Linked DNA regions of Arabidopsis thaliana. The protein of the gene in region 1 purifies or fractionates together with the protein of each later gene. This does not show direct contact. Each region holds a gene or a part of one and is shown on either strand. Other genes may lie near its edges. The genes, in order: DCL3 and PRL1.

Region 1 (16,380 bases):
AGCCAAGACTCCAATGAATCTATGATTGATTGTACAAAAAAGTTGTGGACATTGGTTGGTTACATGATACATAATGGTTTGTTTAGTTCTACGTTTGTGGTTCATTGTTACAAACTTTGTATGAATTCGAATGTGAGTTGGTTAATTAGTTTTGTACTTACGTTCCTTACTTCCATGATTCTTGTAGAGTATAACTAAGGGCAATGACTTTCTCCTCTAAGCTCAAATCTTTCTGTTCTCGATATTTCTCCTCACATGAGAAGGACAAATATAAGGCTTTAATGAAGCAAAAATTGTTGAATCCTCTCTCTTCTTCTTCACCAAACTACGACGAGATGATTCAAGAGAATTTTAAGCCACATTGGATCATTGGGATTGACCCTAACTTATCCGGAGCTTTGGCTGTGCTGAAATTTGATGACAAGGGATCTTGTTCTGCTCAGGTGAATCCCTACTAATTAATTTCCAAAATAAAAATATTCAGTACTATATTAAAAACATAAAAACAAACGAATAGAGAAGATGATTTCAAATGGGTTCCTAAAGTGATTAGTAGGGATAGAGATCTTGCCAAGGATAGAGATATTCGCCAAGGATTGTCAAGAACCCAGATCTTCAATTGGTAATTATTTCCAATTTTATATTTAAGTTTTGTTTTCACTGAATTTTGTCACCAAATAGGAATTTGATTAACAAAACTATAATCTAGATGAAAATCTAAATCTAAGCCTAATTCTTTCTTATAATAGTTTGGTTATAATTTTAGCACTCATTAATTTTGTTTCTATATAGATTTCTATTTATTACAAACATAATGATGTTGACAAAAGAAGAGGATGAACAAAGATAAGTTTTATGAATCCATTATTACAAAACAATAGATCTTTAAATATATATATATATATATATATATATATATATATATATATATATATATATATATATATATATATATATGTAAACCTGATGCTACAAAGTATATTGTATTCAGGGCAAGAATCATTTATGAGTAACATTCTTATGGAGGAGGCAGATTTGATGTTGCCTTTGGAGCTATTCATAAATCTTAAAGTAAAGGTTAGCGAGATAATAAATGATAACACTTTTGTTAATTAGAGAAGCATATATATCTACTGTTATTCATTTTGAACTAGATGAATAAATATAGAAAACATTGTTTTGCCATCGTCGAAGCAACATCATTCCTTGTCTTCAATTTTTCTTTTTTTAACACCAACTCCTGATCACGTTAAACCCAACTTTGTCATATAAACCCGAAAAGAAAAAAAAGAGTGTTATAGTAGAACATAGTTAGTTAAAAACATAAACCATACTGAACAACCAAGACGGGCTCAATATTTTCCCTGTCCCTGTACAAATTTTCAAATTTGGCCCTTTTTATACTAAATGTTTTGAGTTTGGTCCTTAAATTTAGTTAAAATTTTACTTTGGTCCTCAGATTTAGTCAAAATTATCTTTTTATCCCTCATATTTAATAATGTTTTTTATTTTACCCATTAATTTTGATCAAAACTTTTTTGGACCCTATGCAATTGCTCCTCTTGCACTACCCCAACGCCACCCCTGAGAACAACATTAGTTGTTACCTCTTGTAATCAAATATTTTTTACATCAAACATATGCCAAATAATAACTTTGACCAAGATTTCCAGTTATAGTTAACTTGAACTTTAACTTGAATAATTACGAAAAGTTTTAAAGAGTAGCGAGTGGAAGAAAACGGATAGTCGACTTGAATATTTATAGGAAAAGAAGGTCGGCTAGCTGATTTTTTAAGGTTAAACTTTTTCATATCTAAATAATATATTTGTGAATCCAAGTTTTGGATAAAGTTTTAAGGTATATACTCAATTTGAAAGGAGTAGAATATATTTGGATATCTTTCTAACTAATTTTTGTTACCTTTACTATTCGAAACATTTAACATGACAAAAACAATTTTTTATCCTTATTTACAATTCGAAATTAATGGGATAGGTTTAAGGTATATACTCAATTTGAAAGGGAGTATAATATATTTTAATTGTAACTTTTGGTAAATGTATTGAAAACAACCATCAGAATTGGATACTTTTCTAACTAGTTTTTATTACCTTTACTATTCAAAACATTTAATATTACAAAAACAATTTTTTGTTCTTATTTACATTTCGAAACTAATGGGATACGTTTGTTATATAAATATCTTTAAATGATAACTGTCATTTTTGGTTTGACATTAGTTTTGTTTTGTTTAAATTGCAGGAGTATGGCAAAGATTCCCAAAATCCCAACCAGCCATCCAATCGAATGATCCACATGTTTATAACAATATTGCCATATTAGATTTTTATCCGCGGTCTACCGTGGGATTATATAATTTTTTTTAAAAATAAAACATTTAATTTGTTTAGTAGATTAAAAATATATATGATTTAATGTTTTTTATTTTCTAACTATACAATTCTTATATCTATAACTTTTTAGTGTAAAATTACTCTATTAGATTTTGTTTAAAAATATGGGAACAATAACATACAGTTCATTATGTTAAAATCTAAACTATAACAATAATTAAAATTGAAATTATATTTTTTGTTAATATTGTTTCTTTTGTATAGTGTTTAAAATAATATAATTGTATTTTGATTGTTATATCTAGAATTTCACCCGTGATATACCGTCTCAATTTACTATTGACCAAACCCGTCCTACCATCTAATGAATTTCACCCATGGTATACCGTCTCGTATTACTATCGACCCAAACTCGTCCTATCATCTAACCCCGTGCAGTGAAATTAAACATTATCTTATTATTTTTGTTTAAGTAATATTTTAATTTAAAAGATATATACAATTCAAATCAATTTAAAAGATATATAATTCAACAGATATCGTAGAGTAGAAATCTCGGAAAATGTATGTTGGGAGTAATTAGTTGATGAAAAAAATCTCAGATTATAGATATGTGAATAAACCCGTGTAGAAAGTTTTGAAGAGATTTTTGGAAACGTTTGTTGAGCGCAATATAAAATTTTTAAATTTTCAAATCTGAATAATTAATACCAATTAGATATATTGAGAGATTTTTGGCAACTATTATTGAATAGAATATTTCGTATTTAATTAGCAAAATAAAATATTTAATGCCACTGGCATGCCATTGTAAATAAGTGTCAAGTACATGATTTATTTGCTAAAATGGTTGCAAAAATGTAGGTGTAGATTCCAACCGGCCGGATCGCGTGTTATCCGAATTTGACTGGATATAGATCCGACCCATATATCCAGAATCCGTGTGTCAGAATGTGTTAAATTGCCCATTTTACCCCTTGACGAAATCTCTTAGTTTGCCTTAGTTTGAGAACATTTTATGTAATATTTTACCCTTTATATAGTTATTTATTTTTGAGTAATTTCCAATTAATATTATAGATCAAACTGTTTCTAACTATTAAGTTAGTGCGTTTTGTTATCTATTCCTAACCTTAAGTTAAATAAGACATGCTTTGTACACTGTTTTCTTGGTGAATAGAGAGGAAAATTCACTTTAGCATTTTGATATATATGGATTTAGTTTTGTGTGTTAAATCTATGAAGGTATATGATACTCCTGTGGAGGTGTGGAAAACTTTGTTATCTTTTCTGTCGATTCTATTCTAAATTTGGATAATCTCTAGCTAATGTACATTAATTGCAACAAGTTCTAGTGTCTATAATAAACTCTTTCATCACTCCCTCTCTAAGTAAAAATTAGATTATGAATCTTAGGTTTGGTTAAAAGGCCAACCAATTCTTGTATATAGGGACTCTAACCATGTGTCTGATCTATGTGATTGATTTTTCTCCACTAAAAATCATTTTCTAATCAAACATATGATTCATGGTGGTAGTAGATTCTTCACTAGCTAGCGTAGCTTCTTCTTATGTGTTGAATTTTGTCTCCCAACTGAGTTGGTCATTCTCCGTTTTTTTATATTTATCTAATTATTTTTAAGTTGGATTGTTAATGAAATTTTATTTTATGTTGATAATGTCGTTCAGCTGAGTCATGTTGGAAAGGTAAAACGTAATATCTCTCTGGGATGTACAATTATGTACTTGTTTAGTTAAATAAATATTTAAACTTTTTTGGATTTATTTTTGCATTAAACAAAACAAAAAAAAAAAACCTAAAACGTAATAGACGACTAATTTGAACATTAAATAGTGACTCGTTTCGTTGCTTCAGATAATATTTGGTAGATCACACCAGATTGCAGAGCATATTCTCTCATATCCCAAATTTTCTTACTTCCAATAGTCGATTTCGTCGTATCTAAAACGATTTAGCTGCGCAAATTTATGTTGAATAAACAAAGCAGTGGAAGAGGAAAAAGAAGTTAGTTCTAATTAATCTTTCGTTTAAGTAAATATATAGATCTTTGGGAGACGTAAGTTTTTATTGTTTATCTCTTATATAACCTACACTTTTAGGCTCCAATGAATCTATGACTTATTGTACAAGAAAGTTATGGACATGGGTTGGTTACATGATTACATAATGGTTTGTTTAGTTCTACGTTTGTGGTCCATTGTTACAAACTTTGTATGAACGTACGTGAGTAGGTTAATTAGTTTTGTACTTACGTTCCTTACTTCCCTGATTCTTGTAGGTATAACTAAGGGCAACGACTTTCTCCTCTAAGCTCAAATCTTTCCGTTCTCGATATTTCTCCTTACATGAGAAGGACAAAGATAAGGCTTTAATGAAGCAAAAATCGTTGAATCCTCTCTCTTCTTCTTCACCAAACTACGACGAGATGATTCAAGAGAATTTTAAGCCACATTGGATCATTGGGATTGACCCTAACTTATCCGGAGCTTTGGCTGTGCTGAAATTCGACGACAAGGGATCTTGTTTTGCTCAGGTGAATCGCTACTAATTAATTTTCGAAAAGAATATTGTTTTTCTTCTGAAACCCTAGAACTGTGAAACTACAAGATTCTAGGGTTTGTGAAGTAAATTAAGATATTCCATTGGGTAATCTCAGGACATGCACTTGGTTAGTCATAAATTATATATACAAGGTTCGATATTTCATTGGGTAATCTCAGGCAGATGGACTTGGTTTATCATAATTTATATATACAAGGTTCGATTGTTATCTATAGGAATTATATGAATGAAATTAATATTGGATGATAGAAGATTTACAACTAATTAACCTGTTTGTAACTATTGAGTTAGTGAGTTTTGTTATCTATCCCTTAAGTTAAATAAGACATGCTTTGTAAACTGTTCTCTTGGTGAATACAGTGGAAAATTCACTTTAGTCATTTTGATATGGATTAAGTTTTGTGTGTTAAATCTGTGTGAAGGTATATGATACTCCTCAGTTGGAAGTTGTAGTTCAAAACATCCGAACACGTAGTTTCAACGAAAAATCAATGCTAGAACTGATTCGTAGTCTAGATGTTCCATCCGGTAAGAACGATATTTCACTGTGTTTTTGTTGTGGCGTGTTCTTTGCGTTATGTTTAAAATCAATTTGGTCTCTTCACTGTTGTAGGAACCAAGGCATTTGTAGCGAAATATATTCATCCTGAAAACGCTATTGTAAAAATTACTCATCTCTTTTTTTTTTTACTTCAGTACGTTTATGATATGGATTCGATACACTGAAACATGATTGTGTCTTTATATCTTAGACTGCCTACAATGATGGACTTGGATGTGGATTATGGACACTTCTCACATCTAGCATTTCTGTTATTTACGTTACTCCTTCTACATGGGACAAACATTTTAATCTTAGTATTTGGAGTTTGGTGATGAATCTTAACTCTCAAACTTTTATGATTTCATGTCTATCCTCACATCAATTGCAATAAAAATATTTGCTTTTCTCTTCGTAGGATGGTGGCAGGAAACTCGCACTGGAAATGTTTCCATCACTTAAATTGACAACGAAAATTGACGACAATGCTCGAGCTAATGCACTACTCATTGCTGCATATGGTCATGCTACAAGTGATACAAGATATTACTCATTTTCTCAAATTAAGTGACATATCTAACATGTAAAAATGAGTAATGTTTTGGTGATTTCACTTATATATTGCATCTCTTTCTCTGCTCCTTTGGCTTTCAGAAAATTCTTCACTAATTAGAAAAAAATATTTTGTTTATTCTTTTTCCGTATTCAAAATCTCTCAAAATTTGGTCATTTTTCGATTTCTATATTTATCTAATTTTCAAGGTGAGAGTTGTTAATGTAGTTTGGTTATGATTTAACCCGACCGAAATCCTCATGACCTAACAAATTATAAATAATCTCTGACAAAACAAGGTAAATTGTCTCGGGTTGAAAGAGACATTAGAATTAGATGATATTAACATAAGTCAGCCCCTCTTCTACATTTTTAGCTTTCTTTTAGTCGAAAATCATTCCAAACTCGGAACATACATTGTGGTGTTTATTTGGGAAGAAGTCCACGCTAAAGTATTTTAGTACATTTCTACCAGATTACCCGGATAAATAAAAAAAGCGAAGTTACTTACAACATGAAACAGCTTGCACATTGAAGAAAAGTAATCAATCAGCAGTATATCCAATGAATCTATGCATCTTGTCAGGTCCATTGGGCCTTAGAGGCCTAAATATTTGAAGAAAGAGTAAAATCAAAAATAAAGTATCGAAAAAAGGTAACCCAAAAATTAATATAGTTTGACTAATTTTGTTGCAGTTTTTTTTTCTAGTTAAAAATTCAACATTCGAAACTCATGTTCTGACCTCATTTATACACTTGCCCAGTGGTCAGTGCAGAAAAAGAGAAAAAGAATCACCTTTTTGTTTTAATCTCAAAGTCGAAATTCGAAATTCCTCTACTCTTCCCGTTAAGTGTGTTCCTTTTTATCCGTTCGTCATGCATTCGTCGTTGGAGCCGGAGAAAATGGAGGAAGGTGGGGGAAGCAATTCGCTTAAGAGAAAATTCTCTGAAATCGATGGAGATCAAAATCTTGATTCTGTCTCTTCTCCTATGATGACTGACTCTAATGGGTATCATCATCTTCCTCTCTTTGTACTTGATTTTGGGTCTTATGGGTTTTTAGTCTTTTTCACTAAAGTTTACTTTTTTTTTGGCAGTAGTTATGAATTGAAAGTGTACGAGGTTGCTAAGAACAGGAACATAATTGCTGTTTTGGGGACAGGGATTGATAAGTCAGAGATCACTAAGAGGCTTATCAAAGCTATGGGTTCTTCTGATACAGACAAAAGATTGATAATTTTCTTGGCCCCAACTGTGAATCTTGTTAAACAGGCAAGTCTCTTGTTTGATTGTAAAAAGAAAAACTGTTTCATTTGGATTTTAATCATTTTGAGTTGATGATGTTGGCTAATGAGTCGCCTTGGGAGCTTATTTTTGAATGTTTTATTGGTGTGTGTGGTTTTAGCAATGCTGTGAGATCAGAGCACTTGTGAATTTGAAAGTTGAAGAGTACTTTGGAGCTAAAGGAGTTGATAAATGGACATCTCAGCGCTGGGATGAGGAATTTAGCAAGCACGATGTAAGTTTCTGTTTCTTTTTGTGTATATTTGGCTAGTTATACGCCAACAAAGTGACTTGCTTGTAGTTTTGGTGATTTTATATCAAAATTTCTTTGTGTGGTTAGTGAAACTTTGGCAGAATGTTGTAATCCACTTTGACCAGCTCATTGTTGTATTTTGAGTCATGAATGTTCTCTGAGTTAGTTAAAAGCCCATTCCAATTTGTTACTTTTGGGGTTGGTTCTTCTTCCAATGCTGATTATTTCTTAATTATTTTGTTTGAACTTGTTTGCTTGAGCCCTTGACGTAGATTTGTGACTGCATTGATCTCACTAACAGAATCACATACTTCTCTTTTGTTGCCGAATCCACGTGAGTCTATTATCTGCAATGAAATTATGTTTTGTATGGTTCAGGTTTTAGTTATGACTCCTCAAATATTATTGGATGTCCTTAGAAGTGCATTCCTGAAACTAGAGATGGTATGTCTTCTAATAATAGATGAATGCCACCATACCACTGGCAATCATCCCTATGCGAAGTTAATGAAGGTGTGTTTTCTCAGTAATGATAAGCTCTATTAGTTTTTTCATAATAGAGTTTCCATAACTTGTCAACGAACTAGATTCTTTCTTGTTTTCATGAAGGAATTCTATCACGAATCCACTAGCAAACCGAAGATATTTGGATTGACTGCGTCAGCCGTCATTAGAAAAGGCATGCTATTTAAAAGTTTCTTATTTCCTCTGTATGCCAAACCAAAGATCCTGCTTCCTGTAACTACTTTTTAATGTTTGAACTTCATGTAAGGAACATAAACTCATACTACAAGTGTTTCCTCTCCCTCTAACTATGCAGCTCAAGTATCAGAACTTGAGAGACTCATGGACTCAAAGGTACTTTGTTTTTGTGTAACAAGGAAACAGATATAGTTTACAAATTAATGCTATGCAATCTTACTTTGAATTCAGATTTTTAATCCTGAAGAGCGTGAAGGAGTGGAAAAGTTTGCTACAACGGTTAAAGAAGGTCCAATATTGTATAACCCATCACCATCCTGTAGTTTGGAATTGAAAGAAAAGTTAGAAACTTCACACCTCAAGGTATATAATATATGCTCACTGAATATGATCCAGAACATGACTCTTTCCTATTATGTTTCAGAGTGCTTGAAAAATATTCTGTTTTTTTTCGTACAGTTTGATGCTTCTCTTAGAAGGCTTCAAGAGTTGGGAAAAGACAGTTTTCTGAATATGGATAATAAGTTTGAGACATATCAAAAGAGATTGTCTATCGACTACAGAGAGATTTTGCATTGCCTTGATAATCTTGGCCTGATTTGCGCACACTTGGTATTTTTCTACCAGTTTAGTTTTTATTACCAGTTCTTCATTTGCTTACTCATTGTTACTTTTTTCTCCCGCTAGCATACCTGTTGTGCTGATTATTTTTCTTTTTTTTTTCATCTTGCTTTCGCGATAGGCGGCTGAAGTCTGCTTGGAGAAAATCTCAGATACGAAAGAGGAAAGTGAAACTTATAAAGAATGCTCAATGGTGTGCAAGGAATTTCTTGAGGATATTTTATCCACCATTGGGGTGTATTTGCCGCAAGGTAATGTATTCAAAGCTCTATATTGCATTGAGTCCTCTTCTAGTCACTAATTTTTACACTGTTTATCATTTGTGTTATTTAACAGATGATAAGAGTCTGGTAGATTTGCAGCAAAACCATCTGTCAGCAGTAATTTCTGGGCATGTATCTCCAAAGCTAAAAGAACTCTTCCATCTATTGGATTCCTTTAGGTAAATTTAAATTGTTTATCCAACTCCCAAAATTGCACCAAGATCTCCATCTGTTCTGACAATTTCAATTTGCTTGCAGAGGTGACAAGCAAAAGCAGTGCCTTATTTTAGTTGAGAGAATTATAACTGCGAAAGTGATCGAAAGATTCGTTAAGAAAGAAGCCTCTTTGGCTTACCTTAATGTCTTGTATTTAACCGAAAACAACCCCTCCACCAATGTATCGGCACAGAAAATGCAAATTGAAATCCCTGATTTATTTCAACATGGCAAGGTTACCTGTTCTTCATCACAGTCAGATGTTTTATAGATTGAGAAATGTTTTTATTTTGTCTTCTCTGAAAGCTTTTTAATGCATGTAGGTGAATCTTTTATTCATCACAGATGTGGTTGAAGAGGGATTTCAGGTTCCAGATTGCTCATGCATGGTTTGTTTTGACCTGCCCAAAACAATGTGTAGTTACTCGCAGTCTCAAAAACATGCCAAACAGAGTAATTCTAAGTCTATCATGTTTCTTGAAAGGTAGGAAGCAATATTTATTTAACACAAAATGTTTACCAAATTCCAGTTTTTGTAGCTTATTTCTGAATACTAATTATTGTAGAGGGAACCCGAAGCAAAGAGACCATCTGCATGACCTTATGCGAAGAGAAGTCCTAATTCAAGATCCAGAAGCTCCAAACTTGAAATCGTGTCCACCTCCAGTGAAAAATGGACACGGTGTGAAGGAGATTGGATCCATGGTTATCCCAGATTCTAACATAACTGTATCTGAGGAAGCAGCTTCCACACAAACTATGAGTGATCCTCCTAGCAGAAATGAGCAGTTACCACCGTGTAAAAAGTTACGCTTGGATAACAATCTCTTACAATCCAACGGCAAAGAGAAGGTTGCCTCTTCTAAAAGTAAATCATCTTCATCGGCTGCAGGTATGTTTTCTAATTTATTAATTCGTCAATTAGCTGGTGTCGCTGATTTTAGTCTTTAGTTCCTCTATCAGCCGCTGTTGTATCACACACATACACGCACACATCAGCAGTTGCATATCATATGTCTATGTCTAAGGTCATGGAGCTTGTCTTAATTTGTTTATTTATGTATACATTTCTTTTTCTTTTCGCTGAACAGGTTCAAAAAAACGTAAGGAGTTGCACGGAACAACCTGTGCAAACGCATTGTCAGGAACCTGGGGAGAAAATATTGATGGCGCCACCTTTCAGGCTTATAAGTTTGACTTCTGTTGTAATATTTCTGGCGAAGTATACTCGAGTTTCTCTCTTTTGCTTGAGTCAACTCTCGCCGAGGATGTTGGTAAAGTTGAGATGGACCTTTACTTGGTCAGGAAGCTTGTCAAGGCTTCTGTCTCACCTTGTGGCCAGATACGTTTGAGTCAAGAGGAGGTACATAACTCTGATCCCTAGTTATAAACAGTTTCTTGTTTCATGGTTTGAACTTGATGTCTTCTTCTTTGTGTTTTGGATGCAGCTGGTCAAAGCAAAATATTTTCAGCAGTTTTTCTTTAATGGCATGTTTGGAAAGTTGTTTGTTGGATCTAAGTCACAGGGAACAAAGAGAGAATTTTTGCTTCAAACTGACACTAGTTCTCTTTGGCACCCTGCCTTTATGTTTCTACTGCTACCAGTTGAAACAAATGATCTAGCTTCGAGTGCGACAATTGATTGGTCAGCTATCAACTCCTGTGCCTCAATAGTTGAGTTCTTGAAGAAAAATTCTCTTCTTGATCTTCGGGATAGTGATGGGAATCAGTGCAATACCTCATCCGGTCAGGAAGTCTTACTAGACGATAAAATGGAAGAAACGAATCTGATTCATTTTGCCAATGCTTCGTCTGATAAAAATAGTCTCGAAGAACTTGTGGTCATTGCAATTCATACTGGACGGATATACTCTATAGTTGAAGCCGTAAGCGATTCTTCTGCTATGAGCCCCTTTGAGGTGGATGCCTCATCAGGCTATGCTACTTATGCAGAATATTTTAACAAAAAGTAAGTGATATTCTAGCTTTGGCTGTTCTTTCAATCTACTTATCATAACTCTCTAGTTAATGTTATTCCCTTTTAATCAGGTATGGGATTGTTTTAGCGCACCCGAACCAGCCGTTGATGAAGTTGAAGCAGAGTCACCATGCGCACAACCTTTTAGTCGACTTCAATGAAGAGAGTAAGTTGATTCTTGAGAATTTCTCCAACATATGGAATCATTGTGTATGTTCTCATGATATTGTAGTGTGTGAGCTCTAAGATGTTGTTTCCAATGTAAATGGACAGTGGTTGTGAAGACAGAACCAAAAGCTGGCAATGTTAGGAAAAGAAAACCGAATATCCATGCGCATTTGCCTCCAGAGCTTTTGGCTAGAATTGATGTACCGCGTGCTGTGCTAAAATCAATCTACTTGCTGCCTTCAGTGATGCACCGCCTAGAGTCTCTAATGTTGGCCAGCCAGCTTAGGGAAGAGATTGATTGTAGCATAGATAACTTCAGTATATCAAGTACATCGGTATGGTTTTTGAAAACTATCTGTCATTTAGAGATGAAACTAGATATCTTGATTGTCATTAAACTCTTGTCTTGGTTCAATAAATCAGATTCTTGAAGCAGTTACAACACTTACATGCCCCGAATCATTTTCAATGGAGCGGTTGGAACTGCTCGGGGATTCAGTCTTGAAGTATGTTGCGAGCTGTCATCTATTCCTTAAGTATCCTGACAAAGATGAGGGGCAACTATCACGGCAGAGACAATCGATTATATCTAACTCAAATCTTCACCGCTTGACAACCAGTCGCAAACTACAGGTATCTTCTAACATTTGCAAGTAATGTCTTACATCAGTCAGAACACCAAAGAAATATCTTTCCATGGGGATTGGTTTGATAGGGATACATAAGAAATGGCGCTTTTGAACCGCGTCGCTGGACTGCACCTGGTCAATTTTCTCTTTTTCCTGTTCCTTGCAAGTGTGGGATTGATACTAGAGAAGTACCATTGGACCCAAAATTCTTCACAGAAAACATGACTATCAAAATAGGCAAGTCTTGCGACATGGGTCATAGATGGGTAGTTTCAAAATCTGTATCAGATTGCGCTGAGGCCCTGATTGGTGCCTATTATGTAAGCGGTGGATTGTCTGCTTCTCTCCATATGATGAAATGGCTCGGTATTGACGTCGATTTTGACCCAAACCTAGTCGTTGAAGCCATCAATAGAGTTTCTCTACGGTGTTACATTCCTAAAGAAGATGAGCTCATAGAGTTGGAGAGAAAGATCCAACATGAATTCTCTGCAAAGTTTCTTTTAAAAGAGGCTATCACACACTCCTCTCTTCGTGAATCCTATTCATACGAGGTATGACTTCATCATTTTCAACCCCTGCATTATTTGGCTGACTTATTCCCAGGTTTCCAACCTCATGCTATCATTTTTTTCCTCAAACAGAGATTAGAGTTTCTTGGCGATTCTGTACTGGATTTTCTAATAACCCGTCATCTTTTTAACACCTACGAACAAACTGGGCCTGGAGAGATGACCGATCTTCGTTCTGCATGTGTAAACAATGAAAATTTTGCGCAAGTTGCAGTGAAAAATAACCTGCATACCCACCTTCAACGCTGTGCTACGGTTCTCGAGACTCAAATAAACGACTATCTGATGTCCTTTCAAAAGCCAGATGAGACTGGTAGATCAATCCCTTCAATACAGGGCCCTAAGGTAAAAAATATACTTGCATGACCATTTAAAGTCCCTGCCTGAGATTTCAGATTATAAAGAGAGCAAATAGGTTGACATACTTGTCTATTTTGGTTTAGGCTCTTGGAGATGTTGTGGAGAGTATCGCTGGAGCATTGCTGATCGATACGAGGTTAGATCTCGATCAAGTGTGGAGAGTCTTTGAGCCGTTGCTTTCTCCACTTGTAACTCCAGATAAACTTCAGCTTCCTCCATACCGGGAGCTCAATGAGCTATGCGACTCTCTTGGGTATTTCTTTCGAGTGAAATGTTCAAATGATGGTGTCAAAGCACAAGCCACGATCCAGTTGCAGCTGGATGATGTTCTTTTAACTGGAGATGGATCTGAACAGACAAATAAACTGGCCTTGGGAAAAGCAGCTTCACATCTGCTTACACAACTTGAGGTATATATATTCTGATGTTTCCACTTGCGTGTGTGTTGGTGTGTGTGCTCAAACTTTCTTTGGTTCTTCAGAAGAGAAACATTTCACGTAAAACCTCGCTCGGGGATAATCAAAGTTCCATGGATGTCAATCTTGCTTGCAATCATAGCGACAGAGAAACTCTGACTTCAGAGACTACTGAAATCCAGAGTATAGTGATTCCATGTAAGCACTGTTATTTACCTAGAGAGATTCTTCTTTTCTTCTTCAGTTTTTTTTTTTTTTTGTATCAAGGGTTATGCATTTCATGGTTTTATGTGTTTCAGTTATTGGACCTATAAACATGAAGAAAGGCGGGCCTCGTGGAACTCTACATGAGTTTTGCAAGAAGCATCTGTGGCCAATGCCTACTTTCGATACCTCGGAAGAGAAATCCAGGTGACTTCTCATTTTGGTTCCTTTTTTCTCTGCTCTCATGTATCCCGAGTCCTGACCAATCTGAGACTGATAACTGCACAGAACTCCGTTTGAATTCATAGATGGCGGTGAGAAGCGGACTAGCTTCAGCAGTTTCACATCGACCATAACCCTAAGGATACCCAATCGTGAGGCTGTGATGTATGCTGGAGAAGCAAGGCCTGACAAGAAGAGTTCCTTCGACTCTGCAGTCGTGGAATTGCTTTATGAGCTCGAGCGCCGCAAGATCGTCATAATACAAAAGTAGACTAATTTAGACTGTACTATATATGATTCACATTTAGTCATCTCGAGCAGATCTTGGAAATGCGAGAACTCCCAAATAATAGTTTTGTATCTGAATCTCTAATTTATATGTTAATTGTTATGCCTTAATGATAAGCTCATAGACATTACTACAGTTGAAGCTACTAACACGTTTTAGCATCTCGAAACCTTTCTCGGATCCGAGAAACTGAATACGTTTGAATACAGTCTTCCCGCCTTTCATCACCGAGTCCGCTGCTCGGAGCTTTTCACTGTGCCTCGAGTTGGTGTGAATAGCTGCTTTGAGTTCTTCCTCGGACATGTTTTCCTGCGACAGTACATACAACACACAAAACTACTTTGAAAATGGTTTCGTCAACGAGATACTGGCACATATGAGGACATTGCTACCTGATAGAATGCATAGATGTTTTGGAGAATCTGCTGACATGTAAAGCCGGTTTCACTGAAATACGACCTGGAAGAAGGTCCCATTTCACCATACCAATCGATTGGAAGTAGTAATGTTATAAAATGGTTTTTGTATACCAACTCCATTCTCTCACTGTCATGCCATAACAACAATAAACAACATGAGCTTTATAAACTTAAAAGAGTAGCTTGGATCTCAAGTTACATAGATGAAGTAGAACATAGGAACCTTTCTGTGAGCAGTCTCATGGAGTGAGTGAATGAATCATTAGATTTAGCATCAAAGAAGGCAGATAAAGATTTTCTTTCGATATCGTCGTTGTTGCTGAAACTATCTATGATAACACTAGCTGTTGAAGTTGGTTCAGATATTGTCCAAGAGATAGAATCTAGAAGGCTGCTCAGATTTAACGGCTGGATCAGAGTCTTCCCCATCTGTTTTATGAACAAAGAAAATATAGTTCGGTTTAGCGATTGCTCGGTTTTCGAAGATGAAATAGAGAAAAAGATGAAATGCCTTTGCGTGGCGATTTGTGACAGTCTTTTTGGCGGATTCCACAATCTTCTGCCTTTCTTTGTGTGGTCTCGTCCTATCTGTAGGAGATTCCTGTAGGAGCACAAGATTAAAGGACTAGAGACTTCATGAATACTTATCTACAGACAAAAGATACCTTCCCAAGATTCTCAATCATTGTCCTAAGATCTCGTGCCAAATCATCTGACATTTGAACTAGATTTTGCGTTGGTTTCTCTTCCAACGTCTTCTGAAGCCATAGTGGCTGAAACAGGCGACAATTTTACATAAAGCAACCAAAGGATAATGTACCGCAAACAAGATGGAAAATGAGTTCTCATTAGCTTACTGTAACAAGATTGCTAGAGTGACCAAGATATCTTAAAACAGAACCACCTTCACATACAACATGACTAGCATTACATCCAATGAACCATTGAGTCATAAGCTTGGCACCTCCTTCAACAGCCACCTGTGAAACCTACAAGAATTGGAATGTAGCCGTTGATCCACGGGCGTTGCTACATACGTTTAAAACTCATAAGGTGTTTAGGACTAACCTGGCGTCTCACTTCCTCTGAAATATCAGCATCGATAAAAACCGAATAGCCTGACAAGGCCAAGTCCTTGCTTCCTGTGACCTCTATTCCTTGAACTCCTCCTCCTCTATGTAGTTTTTCTACCGCGTAAACCGACTTTAATCCATCTTCATTCACCTTAGTCTCTTCGGGATTTTTGACCGCGTAGAAAGACTCACTCAGCTTAACTACAACAAAATCACATCTAGTATGAGAAATAATCAACAAAGAATGTGCAAACTCGGTTAAAGACATACACACCATTTCTACAGACACTGTCCACAAACCACCCAAGCGTAACGATATACAAAGTCTCTCTTCTTCCATGTTTCAATGCATGCTCAAACTTCCGTCCATCATAATTGTATACTCCTTTTTGTGTTAAGAAACTAACACAAAGCTACATAAATGTTCATGTTTATAATTTCAAAAGATTACTCTAAATTCTATAGTAACATAAGGATATCTGAACAACCAAATGTGTACATAGAGAATGCAAAAGTGCACTGTATTCACCACCAAGTCTCTCTGTAGCTTCCTTGACCTGTTTCCTTGCCTCTACATACAACAATTGATACTCAATTCATAAAACTAGCTCAGAGTTCTTTACAAATACGCTGATTGATTTTGTCTATTAACAAAAAGTTGAATAATCGAGGTATT
Region 2 (15,373 bases), on another chromosome or scaffold:
CATTATTAAGACTTCAAGTCACGTTTCCCCCAATTAAGAAGCCTCCTCCTCTTTCCTTTCTCTCTTTGTCTCTCTGTCTCTTTCTCTTTCTCTCTCTCTCAGAAACTCTTTCTCCAATAATGGCAGAGGCAAGTTTCTATATCGGAGTCATAGGTAATACTTCTTCTCTAACGTGTACGTTGTGCTCATAATCTGTACATGTATAAACACAAGTGCACGATCCAATACATAACATATATATGTGTTTGACGCAGGAAATGTAATCTCCGTACTAGTTTTCCTCTCACCAGTGTAAGCTCTCTAACCTTGCAAGAAGTAACAAAATTGTATAATCTATAGTCTTTCTTACTTAGATTATTAATCGATCGGTCCATATTAATATACCAAACAAAAATCATCAGGGAGACGTTTTGGAAAATAGTGAAGCGGAGATCAACGGAGGAGTACAAAAGCTTGCCGTACATTTGCACGTTGTTAGGATCATCGCTATGGACATATTACGGCATCGTCACTCCCGGAGAATATCTTGTCTCCACCGTTAATGGCTTTGGTGCTCTTGTTGAAACCATCTACGTTTCACTTTTTCTCTTTTATGCCCCTCGACATCTCAAGGTTTTTAATTTATTCTATTTTATGATATTCTGATTTATATATATGCTATTATGCATGATCTTTAGTGTTTCCTATATGATAGCTGGTTACAAAATCTGCATTTTATTTGATTCATTTTTATTCAGATTTGGATCTGATTATCAGATTTCTATGTCTCACTTTTAATTGATTCTTTTTTGTTCTCCCTAAAGTCAAGTCGATTAAAATATTTGATCCACTTGTTATAAGAAATACGATGATGACTTGTAAAGTAGAGTTTCCAATGTATTTCTACATTTTACAAAGTAGTTGTTGGTTCAAATAATTGAGCTTTGTATATATGTTAACAACAATGTGATCTTTTTTTTTGTTCTTACAGCTGAAAACAGTGGATGTGGAAGCGATGTTGAACGTGTTTTTTCCAATCGCGGCGATTGTGGCAACGAGAAGTGCGTTTGAAGATGAGAAGATGCGTTCTCAATCAATAGGTTTCATATCTGCTGGTCTAAACATTATAATGTATGGTTCTCCACTTTCAGCAATGGTAAGTTTCATTCTTAATTTTACCTCATCTGTCAAAACTCAAAAACATTATTTTATAGCGTTTTGGTAGTATCATATCACACACGTTTTGCAATAAAAGATGTCATTGTTCATATCCACTTGGTCCTTTCTAGAAATGATTTTTTTTTATACTCCAAACAAAAAGCTTATAGCCGTCTATAATAAAAAAAAACGACCCACCTGGTCTGAAAATTCAATTTTTGTAGACAAACAAATTGATTTTAATTTAATTAACTTTATATTTTAAGCAGCAATTTTTGTCTTTTTCTTAGTGGAATTCGAATATCGTTTTTATAGTATATTTTTTTTTCTGTTTTCAGAAATAAGGTCAGTGGTTATTTTTGGTGGTAGTTGTTCATTTAGTTTTATAAAGGTTATTTTCGTTCATATATACATGCAATCATCATATATAAACCAACAACCACATGGCATTTTTAAGCACGTCTTCAAAAAAATCGCAGTCACATATCAATTATATGAACTTGTACGTCATTAGATTTTTTTCACATCTAAAATATGAAAATCAACGTCCCAATTGTTTATTTATTTTCCAGCTACTATACTGTACCACGACTTGGTATGGTAGGTCCATATCTTGGATAAAGACATATATACGTAACATTTCATTTTCAATCATTCGCAACAAAATAAATAGAATACGTTTTGAGTTTATCACAATATCTGTTATAATATATAGACTGATCATAGTGTCTAATTTCTTAATACAATATGCAGAAAACAGTAGTGACAACAAAGAGCGTGAAATACATGCCGTTTTGGTTGTCGTTTTTCCTCTTCTTAAACGGCGCGATTTGGGCTGTCTATGCTTTACTCCAACACGACGTTTTCTTACTCGTAAGTATAGTTTCACTGTTTTATTCACTTCTTAATTTATGATTACACCCTTATACTCATGCCGTCTCTGTGTCCCGTTAGTGTTTTGGCTTTAGACACATTCAAAAGACAAAAAGGAAAACTTAACAAAGCTATTTCATCGACCCCATATCTTTTTCGATATTCCAGCAATACCCCCAAAATATTTTTGTTGTTTTCTTTACATCCCCAATTAGACCCCATTAGTGTCAGGTCATGTCACAGTTTATAAAAAATCTTCTGGAAAAGAAAAAATCGATTTAATGCTCAATGATTTTTTAAAAATTGTGGACTCCAAGTCTCCAACATTAACCAAAATGTTTTTTTTTTTGGCCATTTTTTTCAAACAATTAATTTTTTAAAGAACGTGTCTGGTTCAAAAATGCAACAACTACTATTTTGTGGGGACATTTTCAAATGCGTTTTATTGTGATTTCGGATAGGCGTTGATTATAATTATGTTGTTGAGAAATAATGTATTTGTGATTGATTGATTAATTTAGTTAATTAAAGTTATGTGGTGAAATTGGATAGGTGCCAAATGGAGTGGGGTTTGTGTTTGGGACAATGCAACTCATACTTTATGGAATTTACAGAAATGCCAAACCGGTTGGTTTAAGCAACGGTTTAAGTGAGATTGCTCAAGATGAAGAGGAAGGCCTCACATCACGTGTTGAACCTCTCCTCTCTTAAATCCCTTTTTTTTTATGTCAAGAGCTTGTTAATTAATTTGGGTCTTATAAATACAAATCTTTATATTTTTTGTTACATTATTGTGGTGTGCGATTTTGTGTACGTTATTTTTTTGGACAAAATTAGATTAATTTGAAGATGTTACATATTTTAGGGATTGTTATTGTAATGCATCTTTTGTTAAGCGAAGATAAGAGAATGGAGTGTTTACTATGTTTTGAGGCTTAGTAACTTTTTTGTTTGGATAAGTTTTGAGATTCTTGACGGTTGAGTTTGTGAGATATTATTCGTAAAAAAACGTCTTGTGTCGTTGTGTACGTTCGATTGCAAGTGAGCGTATACAGTCATACAGACGTACGTACGGTTCGGTATTTGTGGAGCAAACATATTTCAGTTTTACTCGTCTCTCGGACTTTGACATTTCCCTTTAGCGTTCGGATCGTGATATTCATTTCAGACACAACAACATGGTCATAATGACTAGCTCAGGGATATGTCCTCCTCAATACTTGTTGATGCTCAATTTCATATATGAAAACGAGAGTGACAACATGTTTGATATTTGTTGGGGGAAGAAATGTGAGTGACAACACGTTTAGACTGACAAATGTTGAGAAATAATACATGTTCAAAAAAAAATATTTTCTAAGAAAAAATTGAACAGAGACAAAACTCTTCCGATAACAAACACATCAGTAAACCTAAAACGAAAAAGTACTGAAAAGTTTTAAAATAGCACCACTAGCTAAGACCAAAGGAGGAAAAGCAGCCAAAACGTTGATCTCAGTATCTCATTATAGCATAGAATCGATGTTATCATTTTAAGTTTAGTGGACAAAGTGATAATATTTAGTTATGATATATACTAAGATCTTGAACCCTTCACAGTTTCACTGATTCATAATCTATTGTGGCAACCAAGTATTGATGATTGATCCTTACGTATTCACTCGACTAGCCCAGAAGTGGGCCGAATTACAGCATATTCTCAACCCTCAATAGTCCGTTTGCATTTTCTAAGACTATTAGGCCATTAGCAGCCTCAACAAAACTATGGGCATGAAGAATCAACAAAATTTTATATGGGGTATGAAAAAGCACCATCATTTTCTATTGTTGTATTTGATGTTGACAACAACAACAAGTATAAGATTGTGGTCACAAAATATAATGCCATAGTGAAATCATCTTGTTTTGTTGTTGTTGACGTTGTTAAGTATCATAATTTAGTCATAATTAGCAACGTTTTCTATTTTTCGTATATCCCCATTTATCTCTTAAAACATTTAAGACACTGTTATACTAAAGATGTTGTGTTAGTCGATCCAAACAGATATTATATTTTTAACTAGTTAATGTGATCTTTATTTTTACTTAATAGTTGATACAAGACAAACATAAACACACATAATCAGAATAGTCGCCTACGACAACCTTCCACTGGAACCAAGTCAACCAACCAATCAAAATTCTCAGAAAGACTTTGCTTTGTTTTTCAAAAGCAACTCTCTGAGCTCAGCTGGATCAATCTCAGCCGCACGATTGGAAGGTCTGTAGTATCCAGTAACTGGATCTGGTCCCCAAGCAGACTCTGCCTCTTGATCTAAACCTCTCTGTTCCATCTTCCCCACCATAACTCTGGTGGAACCTCCCTTACTCAATCCTGCTGCTGTTACATTCTGCGATGTAGCAACGTAACTCCTCCTACATTCCAATAATTTATTTTGAAGGTAAGATTATATAAACAGCAAATGACTAAATAACATAACGAAAACGTAGAAAATAACGTGATAATATCATGCATAATTATCTTTAATAGATCTAAGTAAATTAATTACGTTTATTAATGATAGATCAATCTTTAGCCTTCACTCAAATTCAAACCATCAACTATTATTCAATTAGAATTATAAATTCTTTATACGATCTAAGCAAATGAAAGAGTGTGTAAATGTTTATATATTGTAACCTGAAAAAATGGGATCAGTTCAAACATAAGTACCTTAAGACAATGGAACAAGACAGACTTCCGGATGCGGCGGAGCAAAGAGATTTAACGGCACCGGAGAGTGAACGAGCGGCCATTTTTATGATATTTAGATATCAAATAAGTATCAATGATAAAGATATGACGATAGAGCTTAGCGTTTTAGCTACCGCAAAATGATTGTTATATTCTTCCCAAGGCAAGTATCAAGCCTAAGAAGAACACAATCCTTTTTGCAGTAGCCGCCGGTACTAAGCCGCCGTCAGATTCCCCGGTGATGGTTTTTCGAGAGACTTTAGGGTTTGGGTTAGGCGCACTTATATAGACCACGACAGAGAAATTTGGGCTCATGGGCCTTACTGTGGACCCACTGCTCATACTTACTGCCAAAGTAAGGTTAAAAACTGAAATGTGAAAATAGTAAATGGCTAATTCATTTTTTTGGGGGGTTTTATTTATGTTTTTGCCTGTTTTCGAGAAACCCACAAGTGACTAGTGAGAAAGCTATGATAGTTTGATGCTTTGATAGTTTGATGATTGAATTGAAAGAAATAGAAGACGTAAAAACCAATGTACGTCTTCCACTAAACGATACTGGCAGTTAAAAAGGTGAAAAGTCTACAAAAGATCTGCGAATAAACAAGTATACTTTGGTACAAAAGATCAGAAGAGGTCGGTGAGATCTGAATGATGATAACTAGAACGTGTCACTTACGTATTGCAAAACCAACACACAGGTGTCTTCGCGCAAACGAGCTCACCATCACCGTCTCTTTTTAGTGGATCTTTTCCATTCAAATTGTTTACTATTTCAATATTTTCTTTTGTTTTTACACTTGGTTTCTTCGTATCAGCTGTTTTGTTTTTACACTTGGTTTCTTCGTATCAGCTGTGTAGTTACACTATAAAAGCTTCATAAACCAAACAACCCGAGCCAAAATTTAGGCTGAAAACTTTCAGTGGTGGAGACTAGAGATATAAGTTGTTGATCAAATACTTAGATTCGTCCTACAAAACTTCACAGATTTGGTTGCACAGAAATCATGATAGATCTTCGATAAGTACTAACGAAGAGAATCAAGAGACGGGAGATAAAAGTAACAAAGTTCTCTCAACATAAACAACAATACATGATCTATTATTGTTGATAGAAAAAATTACAAATGCCCTTAAAATACATAAAGTACATGGCCTTTTGTTTCCTCCCCACCACAAAACAAAGGTCCCCTCTCAAAAGTTGATCTAGGAAACAGAATCATGAAGAGATTAGTGAGATTCCAACAAGAGCTTTGAGTTACAGATACAAGTTATTTAGAAGCGCCTAATCTCCTTTGGTGGTTTGAAATTGATAGGATGAGTTTCTGGAGTTGCATTCTCATCTTCTTTCCACATCTTTATCGTCTTATCAGCCTCGCATGTTACCAATCTTGAACCTGTATTATCATAACACGCTGCATATATACCCGCTTCACTCTCCAGGGAACCTGCCATATGCCCAACCACATCCAATTAAAGACCCATTTACTATTTGCTTGTAAGACGACGCTATAGGCATTTACATAAACCATAAACCTACGTCAACTTTCTTGGTTTCCCTAGAGCTCAATCATAGTATCATACACTTCTAACATTTGAGTCTTTACCAGGGTTCAAACTTGACTACGTTGTATGAACATACCGAGACTTCTACATCTTACCATAACAAGGAGATCAGGAGCAAAAGACCATGAAAGCTATAAATGTACGTACCAGGCTGTACGATAGTTTCTGACTGTTGGAAACTGTGACCACTCTTCCAGTCCCAGAACCATATACTTCCATTATCACCTTCATTCACACATATATAGAATCAGTTTCAGTTGAAAATGATTATGTCTCACCCATTTTACTATCAAAGGAAAACAATCACAGGGACGAAAGGAATCAGAAATGATTATATACCTCCAGTGACCATCACACCATCCTCGTTTACAGCCATTGCATTAATTATGGTTTTCTGTTGCGAACTTTTCCATGGAAAAAGATAAACATTGTTCAAACACATCAATTACATAATTAATAATGACAGCTCCTATTTCAAAAGCACTGGAGATGCAAAGTATATAATTATCTAGCAGAGACTTACAGCATGTTGTGGCAGAACTCTCCCTTTGGAAGGCTAAATTTCTTGGTGTTGTCAGCTGATGCAGAAGCAAAGGCATTCCTAAAAAGAAAATTAAAGAGATAACATAAAGGAAAAGTTTAGGTGCAAAGACTTCGCTATTGGAAAGATAAAGTAGATTCAGCACGATACACAAAAGTAGATTCAGTACGACTACACATACTCTTTAGGATGGAGGGTCATTGCTCGGACAGATTTCTTATGATGTGTTAGCGTTGACATTGTTTTTCCTGCATATAATAATAATACAGCATTATTCAAATGAAACCATATATTTGCAGCAACTGATAATCAAATAAGGAAGGATTTAAATAATATGGATTTTAAGTCCAAACAATGGTTACAATGATAAGATATACCATATCGAAGGTCCCAAAATTTAATGGTCGTGTCATGGGATCCGGTGACAACTTGTGGGTCCTGCAACAACACAGATCAAAGTGAGTTCCAGTTACTATTATAAAAAGATTCAGCAAGAAATCCAAAAACCATAACAACAAGTCCATATTAAAAGAGACTTACTGTTGGACGAGTAAATACAGAACAAACGGTGTTGTCATGTCCTGAGAGTGCAAAAATTTGCATCTTGGTACGAATATCCCACACCTGCAAATAAGTAAACATGGACTTTTAAACTACAAATCCAGCAAAGTGCAAGAATTCAAACGAGAAGATATATAAATATGGATATAAATATTTTTGCCTTACCCTGCAGACAGAGTCTCGCCCCCCAGTTAATAAAACATCCAAAGTTGGGTGCAGAGCTAAGCAATAGACACCACTCAAGTGACCATGATAAGATCGGATAACCTATCAAATCAAAAATTCCAAGAGCATTAGATATGAGAAATCCAGATAATGAAGAGAATAGAGTTGTAACCTTATTCTGCTCAAGGTCCCAGCATTTGACTTGCTTGTCATCACCAGCAGAGAACATATAGGTATGTCGATTGCTTACAGCGAGGCCTGTAACAAAATTCAAAACAAAAGAGCCCAAACTTGTAACTTGTCCCGAGAGTGTTATTTATTGAAAAGTCTAACAAATATTAATAAACGAGAACAGATTTGAAAGGCTAACCTCGTACTTGCTCGATATGCCCAGTAAGTGTTAGCTTCAGAACTCCAGTTGCTACATCCCATATCTAGTGAATAAAACACAAGTAATAAATTCAGTAAACATACCAAAGTCGGAACTGCTTCTACAATCGCCAAAGTAGTGGATTTTTGGCAATGCACTAAACTAAGCTCCAGTAACTAGCCATAGAAGGGAAGTCTTGTATCATGACTTATAAGTATAACAAGAAAACATATTCGAAAAAATACAATTCATATTGAATAAGCAATCATCTCTGCTACCTTGATGGTACGATCAGCTGAACCAGTACAAAACCATTCATTACTCGGGTCAAACGCAACAGATCTGACCCAACCCAAGTGCCCCTGAATGACCTGTGAAAAGAATAATTAATCGTAAGTTAAGTAACTCCTCAAACCAGAGTTTTTTGGAGACCAACAAAAGACCAAAATCCGTATGATGCAGCAACAATGCTGAGCCACGGATTTTACCCTGTAATTCTTCCATGGTGCATGCCACTCTGGCCGGGGCCATCTACTTGGTATTCTCTCCATTAATGCAGCAGTTGACAGATTTCTGTAACACGCAAAGGAACGCAACAACAAAAAAGGAATCAGAATTAGAAGCTACATTATAAGGACAAACCAAAAAAATTCAGATTGGGGGAAGTCTAATTTGCATGCCCATGAACTACCTACACTACCTAGAGCTGCCATTAATGTATTGCAATCCAGATAAAGAAAAGCAAGTATGAGGACGAGAAAAAAACCTTTGATATGAAGATACATTTGCAGGTATAATGGTGGTGCTCTTCCCTGAGGAACCTGTATAGTTCCTTCAATTCGAGAACCGAATTCTTTTATGAGCATCCTCACGATAAAGTAGAACCATCAATTAGCATTCAGATCAACGAAACCAACAACAAAAGATAACACTTACAAGCCTTTAGGCAGTATTGGACGCAGTAAAGTTGGACCAACAACAATAGCACTCTCTGTCGCACCCTTTTGCGTACTCTTAGACCCTTCAGGAGCTGCAGAATTCATCAAGCAGATGATTTTATCCCTTCCAATACAAATAAGAATGCAAATAGCAAACAAGAAACAAGTTTTTATCTTTCACCAAGACATAGTGATATGAAAAACACCTGCGAGGGAAAGAGCATTTGAAGGTCCTGGCTGCTCATTGATGCGGTCAGGTTGACGTGGAGGTTGACTCACAACAGGTTCTACACCTCCAAACGCAACTTTCATCTGTACAAAGAAAACTTCTAAAATCAGTAACATACACAACAGAGAGAGAGAGAGAGTCTAAGTAAATCAACCATCTTTACTATTATTGGTAACAAAACCTGAAGATTTAGAACAATTATGGAAAAACCTGAATAAACCTAAAGTTCGAAGCTTTAAACCAAAATCCAATCAATAGACATTAAAAGCGAATAACTGAAATAAATTTCTAAAGACTGGTAAGAGAGACTCAATGTTTTACCTTATGGCTGAGACGAATCTGCTTGCTGCAAAAAAAAAAAAAAAAAACGAAGAAATCATAAAAACTTAGTGAAGAAAATGAAGATTCGAATCGAAAATTGGGGATCGAAGAAGACTAACGCTTCCGGGTCAGGAGGAGGGAATTGGCCATGGACGGGAGAGAAGAGTTCAAGTGATCGTTTGAGGGATTTGAGACTGAGCTTTTTCAGTGACTGTGCTTCGATGGGTTCGATCTCCGTCGTCGGAGCCGGCATCGTTCTTCTTTTAGGGTTTAGAGAGAAAGAGAAGTGAAGTGAAAAAGGGTTATATTAATAATCTCGAGTTTATTTATATCAATTTCACGATTTTGTTGCGCCGAAAAATTCTTTTAAAAGGGAAATGAACACAATTAATTTTTCTGGCTACAAATCTTCTTTTTAAGCTTTATGTTAAAAGGAAAAAATAAAGACACATATTTTCTTAATATGGTTAATGAGTAATTAGATTGATATGTATTAAGATATTGTATTTTCTTTCTCTTTATAATTACGGTTTTACCTTTTCTTAAACATACATATACCAAATGATGTATGAAAGTTTTCATGCAATATTATTGAGGTCATAAATTTTGTAACACTTTCTCAAAGACAATAGATTTATAAATTTTCAAATATTTTGCAGCATAGTTTTGATGAGAGACTCCCATGGAGTATTCAAACAAGAGATTTGCCACAAAAGTATAAATCTTCAAAAACCTTGCCCCCCACATGGAGAATGCATAAACCAAAGAAGGAAGCTCACACTATATTTTCGAATCTCTCATTTACTATCCATTTAACATGTTTCCCATAAGACATCTTCAAGAAGAAGATAAAGAGTTCAACACAAATACTTATATTTATTAAGCCAAAGAGATATGTAATCAGTCTTACATATTCGTAACATCTCTAAGCGCCATATATGTGCTAGAGATAGCTCTAATGAACTTGCAAAAGTTTTAAAGCCGTTATAGACATCAAATAGCATTTTTGAAAATATTTAATCACTTTGAGATGTTATCACTAAAATCAACACATACAACACATAAATCAATTTGAGGGCAGGGATGGATTTATCACACAAGGACAAACATGAGCAAGCAAACAAATGCGCGCACACACACACACACACCAGGTTTTAGTGTCTTATGCGGTTTATAAATACGATTTAGACTTTAATAGAGTCTCGATCTAATCTCCCAAAAAGAAAAATCGAAGTCATGCATTTACAGCAAAAGCTATTTTCTACAGTCTCATTTTTAAGTTCTAACTCTCATCATCAGACATGAAAGTTGGTCTTCTTCTCAGAGACTCCAACACATCAGCTGATGGTCGACCACTCTGGCTAACTCCACGGCTCGACCTTAGCTTCGGAACACTCATTGCGCTCAGAGGCGGCGTTGCAGCTCCACCGTTCACTTCTCTCAACACCGACCTAGCTGCCTTAGCCGCCACCACATCAGCAGCCGCAGAAACCACTCTTGATTCCAATCCCGAATCTCTAACATTCTCCTCGCTTGCTGCTGATGCTTCAGGTTCACCGTTTCTATGACTTGTCCCGCAGGCAACCCCTTGGTTAGCCATGGACCTTGCCTTTGCAGCCTCGTGCTTCTGCATATCGTAAACAAGCTCTTTCTGAAGCTGTTTGTCAGCGACAAGCATTTCTTCGATCTCGTTCTTGTAGTCTTTGAGGAGGACACGGAGGCAGTCCATGAGCGAACCTGTGAGAGGACTGTTCTTGCTCTCCAATAGCCTCTTGAGCTCAATGAAGATTGGAATCGTGTTCTGAATCAAACCTTTTCTAACAGCGTGCGTTATGGCCCTTCCTTTTGCAGTTGCTGCATCTCCACCTTCTTCCTCTATATCTGCTGTCTCCGACGATGCTCCTCTGGAAACTGATAAACGGATCTCTTTGCACGCCAAGATCTGAAACGCATCCTACACCGAGACAAAACGAGTTAAAAATCGGCAATCACAAGAAGAAAAAAGGCTCTGTAGCCATTTTGGAAGTTACCTGTAGAACTGATTGACCAGTGACATCTTCTATGTTGAGCATTCCATCAGAAGCAGCTGCGAGGATCTCTGCACATAACTTGGCGAATGTGGCCAAAAGGTGTTCTGGGGCCATTTGTTTAAGCAAAGTAACGTAGATCTGCATTCTTTTAGACCTAGCCCTTTCATCATTCCCTCTACAGAACAAATGAAACAAAGATAATCACTAAGATCATTCACACCAAAATGTCAAGTTTGCGTATGAGCATAGACTATATAACTTTAACACAAGTACCTGATAGAAAAAACTTGATCCTTTGTTCTTGATTGTTTAGAATCTGGATTACTATGGCCAGTGTGGGCATGGCAGTCGTTTAAGACATAAATAGCTTCCACGAAACTGTTGTAAGCTAGAAGTGGCGCCTTTACTATAAGCAACATGGGGCGTAACAATAATCAAAAATCCTAGAGATCATGTCTCTCTGTAAGAATTTTCAATAACATGGGAATGAAAGAATGCATTTCATGGTTGCTCACGTGAGTTCTCATACCTTTAAGGATGCTTCCAAATAAAAAGTCTGCAAGTCGACGTATCTTTTCAGATTCATCCACTAGCGATAGAAGGAATCGAAGGAAGAGAACTCCTCTCCATTTCACGTAGTCTCTCTGAATCAAGAAAACAAGCCTGCTTATTCATTGTCAATTCAATACTTTTTAAAAACAGAAGATAAAGAATCTGTGGAGAATAGCAATACCTGTAGTAACCTTGAGAGAAGTATGAAGGTTTGCCTTCTAACAACTTCACAAGGATCCCGAAGACGTTTAGTAATCTTCGGTATGTAACTATCCAGGTAAACAAACCATTAGAATGTCGCAATCATGTTTAACATTTGAAAAATTAATGTTCTGTGAATGAAATACCACTCAATCATGGCTGTATAGTGAACACAAAAGTCTGTCATCGCTACTACAAGATTGTTACGCAAGGCTGCACAATCACTCTTTTCAAGTTCCTGCAAGAGTAAGGCATCAACGGGTTCACATAGGTTAAAAAAAATTGAAGAGACAAAGGAGACTACCATCCAATGAATCAAGTTCCTGGAACGAAAAGTTTCCTTTCCAGAAATAATCAAAATGATAAAATGGACACATGAATCAGCAAATGCAGACAGACCTGTGCAAAGAGAGGGAGATATCTTTTAGCAAGCTTCCCGTCAGCCAAACACATCTTCGCCATGGTTAACCAAGACTGACTATAGAGAAGAGGAGCTTTTTGCTTCAAGCAAACATTAGCTTGCGGCAGTTTGTTTTTCAGCTTTGAGTCTGAATTTCCTGAAGTGATGACAGTATGTAAGAACGGAACAATTTTGGTCGTGTCAGCTGAAGGATATATAATGACACAAGATCCAATGGTGTATACTGCTGTGACTGCTTTTGATAATTTCTTGGACACAGTATCCAGTCTCTTGCTTCTTCTACTTCCGAGTGTTGCTGGTGTAACAAAAGAATGATTATGACTGGAAACCCCCTCGATGTACTTCTCAGTGACCTTAGATGCTTTCAATGAAACTTGTTCTACCCACTTCTTGACAAGCATATCGGCCTCCTCAGAGGTGCTTGCCTTCTTTTTGCACAAAGTTTTTAATGCTTTGACATGTGCATCGACCTGTCATTCAATGGCATTGACTAAGTTCATGAAGATAGATGAACCATATACGAAGCAACCATTTTCAAACCAGTGAATAATGATCTGCTCAATTCAAGCGTTCAAGTTTCAGGTTACAGAAAAGTACCAAAAAAATATCAAAATCTGAAAGAATACATCCTTCTAGACAAAAACCAGTAACTTTCTGTACTTTCAAAACATGAGCTTGATTTTATATAGAAGATATCAGGTTAAATATTTATCATTACCTCAGCAGAATGCAGGTTAAAATTTTCGATTTTCTTCAGCAAATTGTCAGCCAGATCTGCAGCAGGCTCTGCTGGCAGCTGAAGGGAAACATTGGAGATTGTTTGCAAAAGACAAACTCGATCGCCAGCCCATGTAGAAGAATTACACTCGACCCCCTGTTCATCACCTTGTTCATCTAGCCCTTCAGAAATAGCCAAATTATCATACATACATTCATGAAAATTGGTTTAATTAGGGTAGAAGTTAGGACTAAAACCAGAAAATCACACTACCAGTAGGAACAAGTAAAGACATGAATCAGTTGATTGAGATGTTTATAGATGGATAAACAGAATTCTGACAAACCTTGTACGTCATTCTTGTCAAGCAACTGCCAATGATGGTGAAGAAATTCCCATTCGACAGACTTTGAAAGATAAACTGAAACCTCTGATAGAAGGAACCAAGCACCAGCAGGAGCTGTCCATCTATTTATTGGCATTGAACGACTCAACCACAGTGATTCAGATTCCTTTATGATACACTGAAGCGCAAGGGCAACTCTTGGTTTTAGTCGCTTCTTCTTTCCCAAACTTCCACATATTTTCGTAACCCAAGGAGAAACCTCACTGTTGCAAAGCTCCCTTAAGAGAACCAAAACTCCTTCTGGAAACAAGGCTTCAATGTCTCTGTCTAGATCTTTTGAAGTAGTGTTCCGGTTGTTAGGGAGAGAAGCACTGTCTGGAGAAAGCACATTTCCAGCTCGTAATATTCTCTCCAGAACTAATTCATGAAAGACATTCTCGCATTCTTCTTGGATGCTAGTTTCATTGTCCATGATCATCCGAGGAACAGAATGTAACCATTCAGTGGTCACAATTTCATCTGTACATATTCTGAATGCCTACAGTGAACAGAAGACAATGAACTTGCATCATCAGAGAAATATGATAACAAGTCATTAGCCTGAGTGCCTGACCTATATTCAGGGATAAGTTAAAGTATAAAGATTATCTGATTTTAGTATGAAACCGACGGAAGCAGTTGCTATGTAATTTCCCATTCATTCATCTAAAAACATTTTTGGCTTGCACATTTGGTCTCTTTAACTTTGAGCTAATTAAGGTCAAAGCAAACCCGTATAAATTATACTAACTCTACACATATTACCATCGGGTAAATGAGAAAGAAGAAACTGAGTTACAGAAAACATACCTCGGAAATAGCTGAAACTGCAGCCTTTCTTATACTTATTAGCGGATCAGAACAAGATGTACCCATTGTCTTTAGGATACTACCATCAAAGCAACCACCCATAAGCGATGTCAATTTTGTCACCAGAAGAAGAGCTGCTCTCCTTACAGCCGCCTTCTCATCCACACATCTTTTCTTCAAAAGGTCAGTTACTGCACCTTTTCCCTCTGAAGTCTCACCGTTAAACCCAAGGGCTTGTTTCAGGATCGACCTACTCCTTTCATCACCAGACAAGAACTCCACAACTTGAGCCAAGTTGGACAAAGCTCGAGCTCTAATCAAAGCGCTCGTGTCTGAACACCGCTGAACTAAAGCATCAATACAACCCAAGCCCCACGAATCTTTCAACCCATTCTCTGAACTAATATCTCCTAGAGGGTTTCCTAATGAGCTTATCAACAGAGGTATAATATCAACAGCTAATACTCTAAAATTAGACTTCCCTTGACACATCTTCATTACAAAATCAACAAACTCTGATTGGCCCTCAACCTCCATTGCCTTTACAATCTCCAGTACCGCCTCCACTGCAAATCCACGCGGCTCGGCCTTCTCAGGTGCCTTATGAACCAGAAACTTAGGCAAATTAGACACAACTTTTTTCAATTCAGGGTTATCTTTAGCCAAACTCATCAATTTCCTTGACACAAATCCCAACGCAAAACTTCTCGCTTGATGTTTCCCCATAAGAAGCAACGGTGTCAAAGACTTTGAAATCTCAGCAGCAGTGAGTGCCATATCTCCATGGTCAGAATTCAACACTCCTCCCAGAATCTTCCCAC

What was found.
Region 2: the proteins of DCL3 (region 1) and PRL1 purify together in Arabidopsis thaliana (affinity purification with western blotting, with the first as the bait; one study listed by BioGRID). This does not show direct contact.

What each region holds. Positions count from the first base shown.
Region 1 is NC_003074.8:15,746,637-15,763,016, forward strand, and holds DCL3 (dicer-like 3), read left to right. Parts: upstream 1-6,911; coding exon 6,912-7,045; intron 7,046-7,132; coding exon 7,133-7,307; intron 7,308-7,440; coding exon 7,441-7,554; intron 7,555-7,950; coding exon 7,951-8,085; intron 8,086-8,181; coding exon 8,182-8,255; exon of another isoform or gene 8,256-8,366; coding exon 8,367-8,430; intron 8,431-8,505; coding exon 8,506-8,637; intron 8,638-8,733; coding exon 8,734-8,886; intron 8,887-9,016; coding exon 9,017-9,146; intron 9,147-9,231; coding exon 9,232-9,337; intron 9,338-9,416; coding exon 9,417-9,609; intron 9,610-9,697; coding exon 9,698-9,858; intron 9,859-9,940; coding exon 9,941-10,266; intron 10,267-10,465; coding exon 10,466-10,737; intron 10,738-10,822; coding exon 10,823-11,343; intron 11,344-11,423; coding exon 11,424-11,518; intron 11,519-11,625; coding exon 11,626-11,855; intron 11,856-11,943; coding exon 11,944-12,153; intron 12,154-12,235; coding exon 12,236-12,703; intron 12,704-12,793; coding exon 12,794-13,066; and 9 more. Other genes in the region: AT3G43910 (MutS2), read left to right, coding at 4,751-4,912, 5,364-5,469, 5,555-5,601, 5,694-5,813, 5,901-6,053; AT3G43930 (BRCT domain-containing DNA repair protein), read right to left, coding at 14,312-14,521, 14,605-14,758, 14,855-15,060, 15,143-15,232, 15,297-15,404, 15,489-15,620, 15,700-15,905, 15,979-16,081 and 1 more. UniProt on the Arabidopsis thaliana protein: Ribonuclease (RNase) III involved in RNA-mediated post-transcriptional gene silencing (PTGS).
Region 2 is NC_003075.7:9,018,090-9,033,462, reverse strand, and holds PRL1 (pleiotropic regulatory locus 1), read right to left. Parts: upstream 9,798-15,373; 5' UTR 9,689-9,797; coding exon 9,555-9,688; intron 9,461-9,554; coding exon 9,436-9,460; intron 9,198-9,435; coding exon 9,092-9,197; intron 8,978-9,091; coding exon 8,884-8,977; intron 8,780-8,883; coding exon 8,714-8,779; intron 8,521-8,713; coding exon 8,436-8,520; intron 8,319-8,435; coding exon 8,226-8,318; intron 8,012-8,225; coding exon 7,948-8,011; intron 7,836-7,947; coding exon 7,750-7,835; intron 7,680-7,749; coding exon 7,578-7,679; intron 7,476-7,577; coding exon 7,392-7,475; intron 7,290-7,391; coding exon 7,229-7,289; intron 7,100-7,228; coding exon 7,033-7,099; intron 6,912-7,032; coding exon 6,834-6,911; intron 6,715-6,833; coding exon 6,650-6,714; intron 6,536-6,649; coding exon 6,458-6,535; intron 6,193-6,457; coding exon 6,020-6,192; 3' UTR 5,655-6,019; downstream 1-5,654. Other genes in the region: SWEET17 (Nodulin MtN3 family protein), read left to right, coding at 120-153, 255-291, 402-612, 971-1,135, 1,891-2,010, 2,563-2,721; DI21 (drought-induced 21), read right to left, coding at 4,194-4,425, 4,724-4,806; AT4G15890 (binding protein), read right to left, coding at 10,718-11,389, 11,466-11,640, 11,739-11,871, 11,995-12,109, 12,199-12,286, 12,365-12,456, 12,618-13,109, 13,358-13,539 and 2 more. UniProt on the Arabidopsis thaliana protein: Pleiotropic regulator of glucose, stress and hormone responses. Also regulates cytochrome P450 CYP90A1/CPD.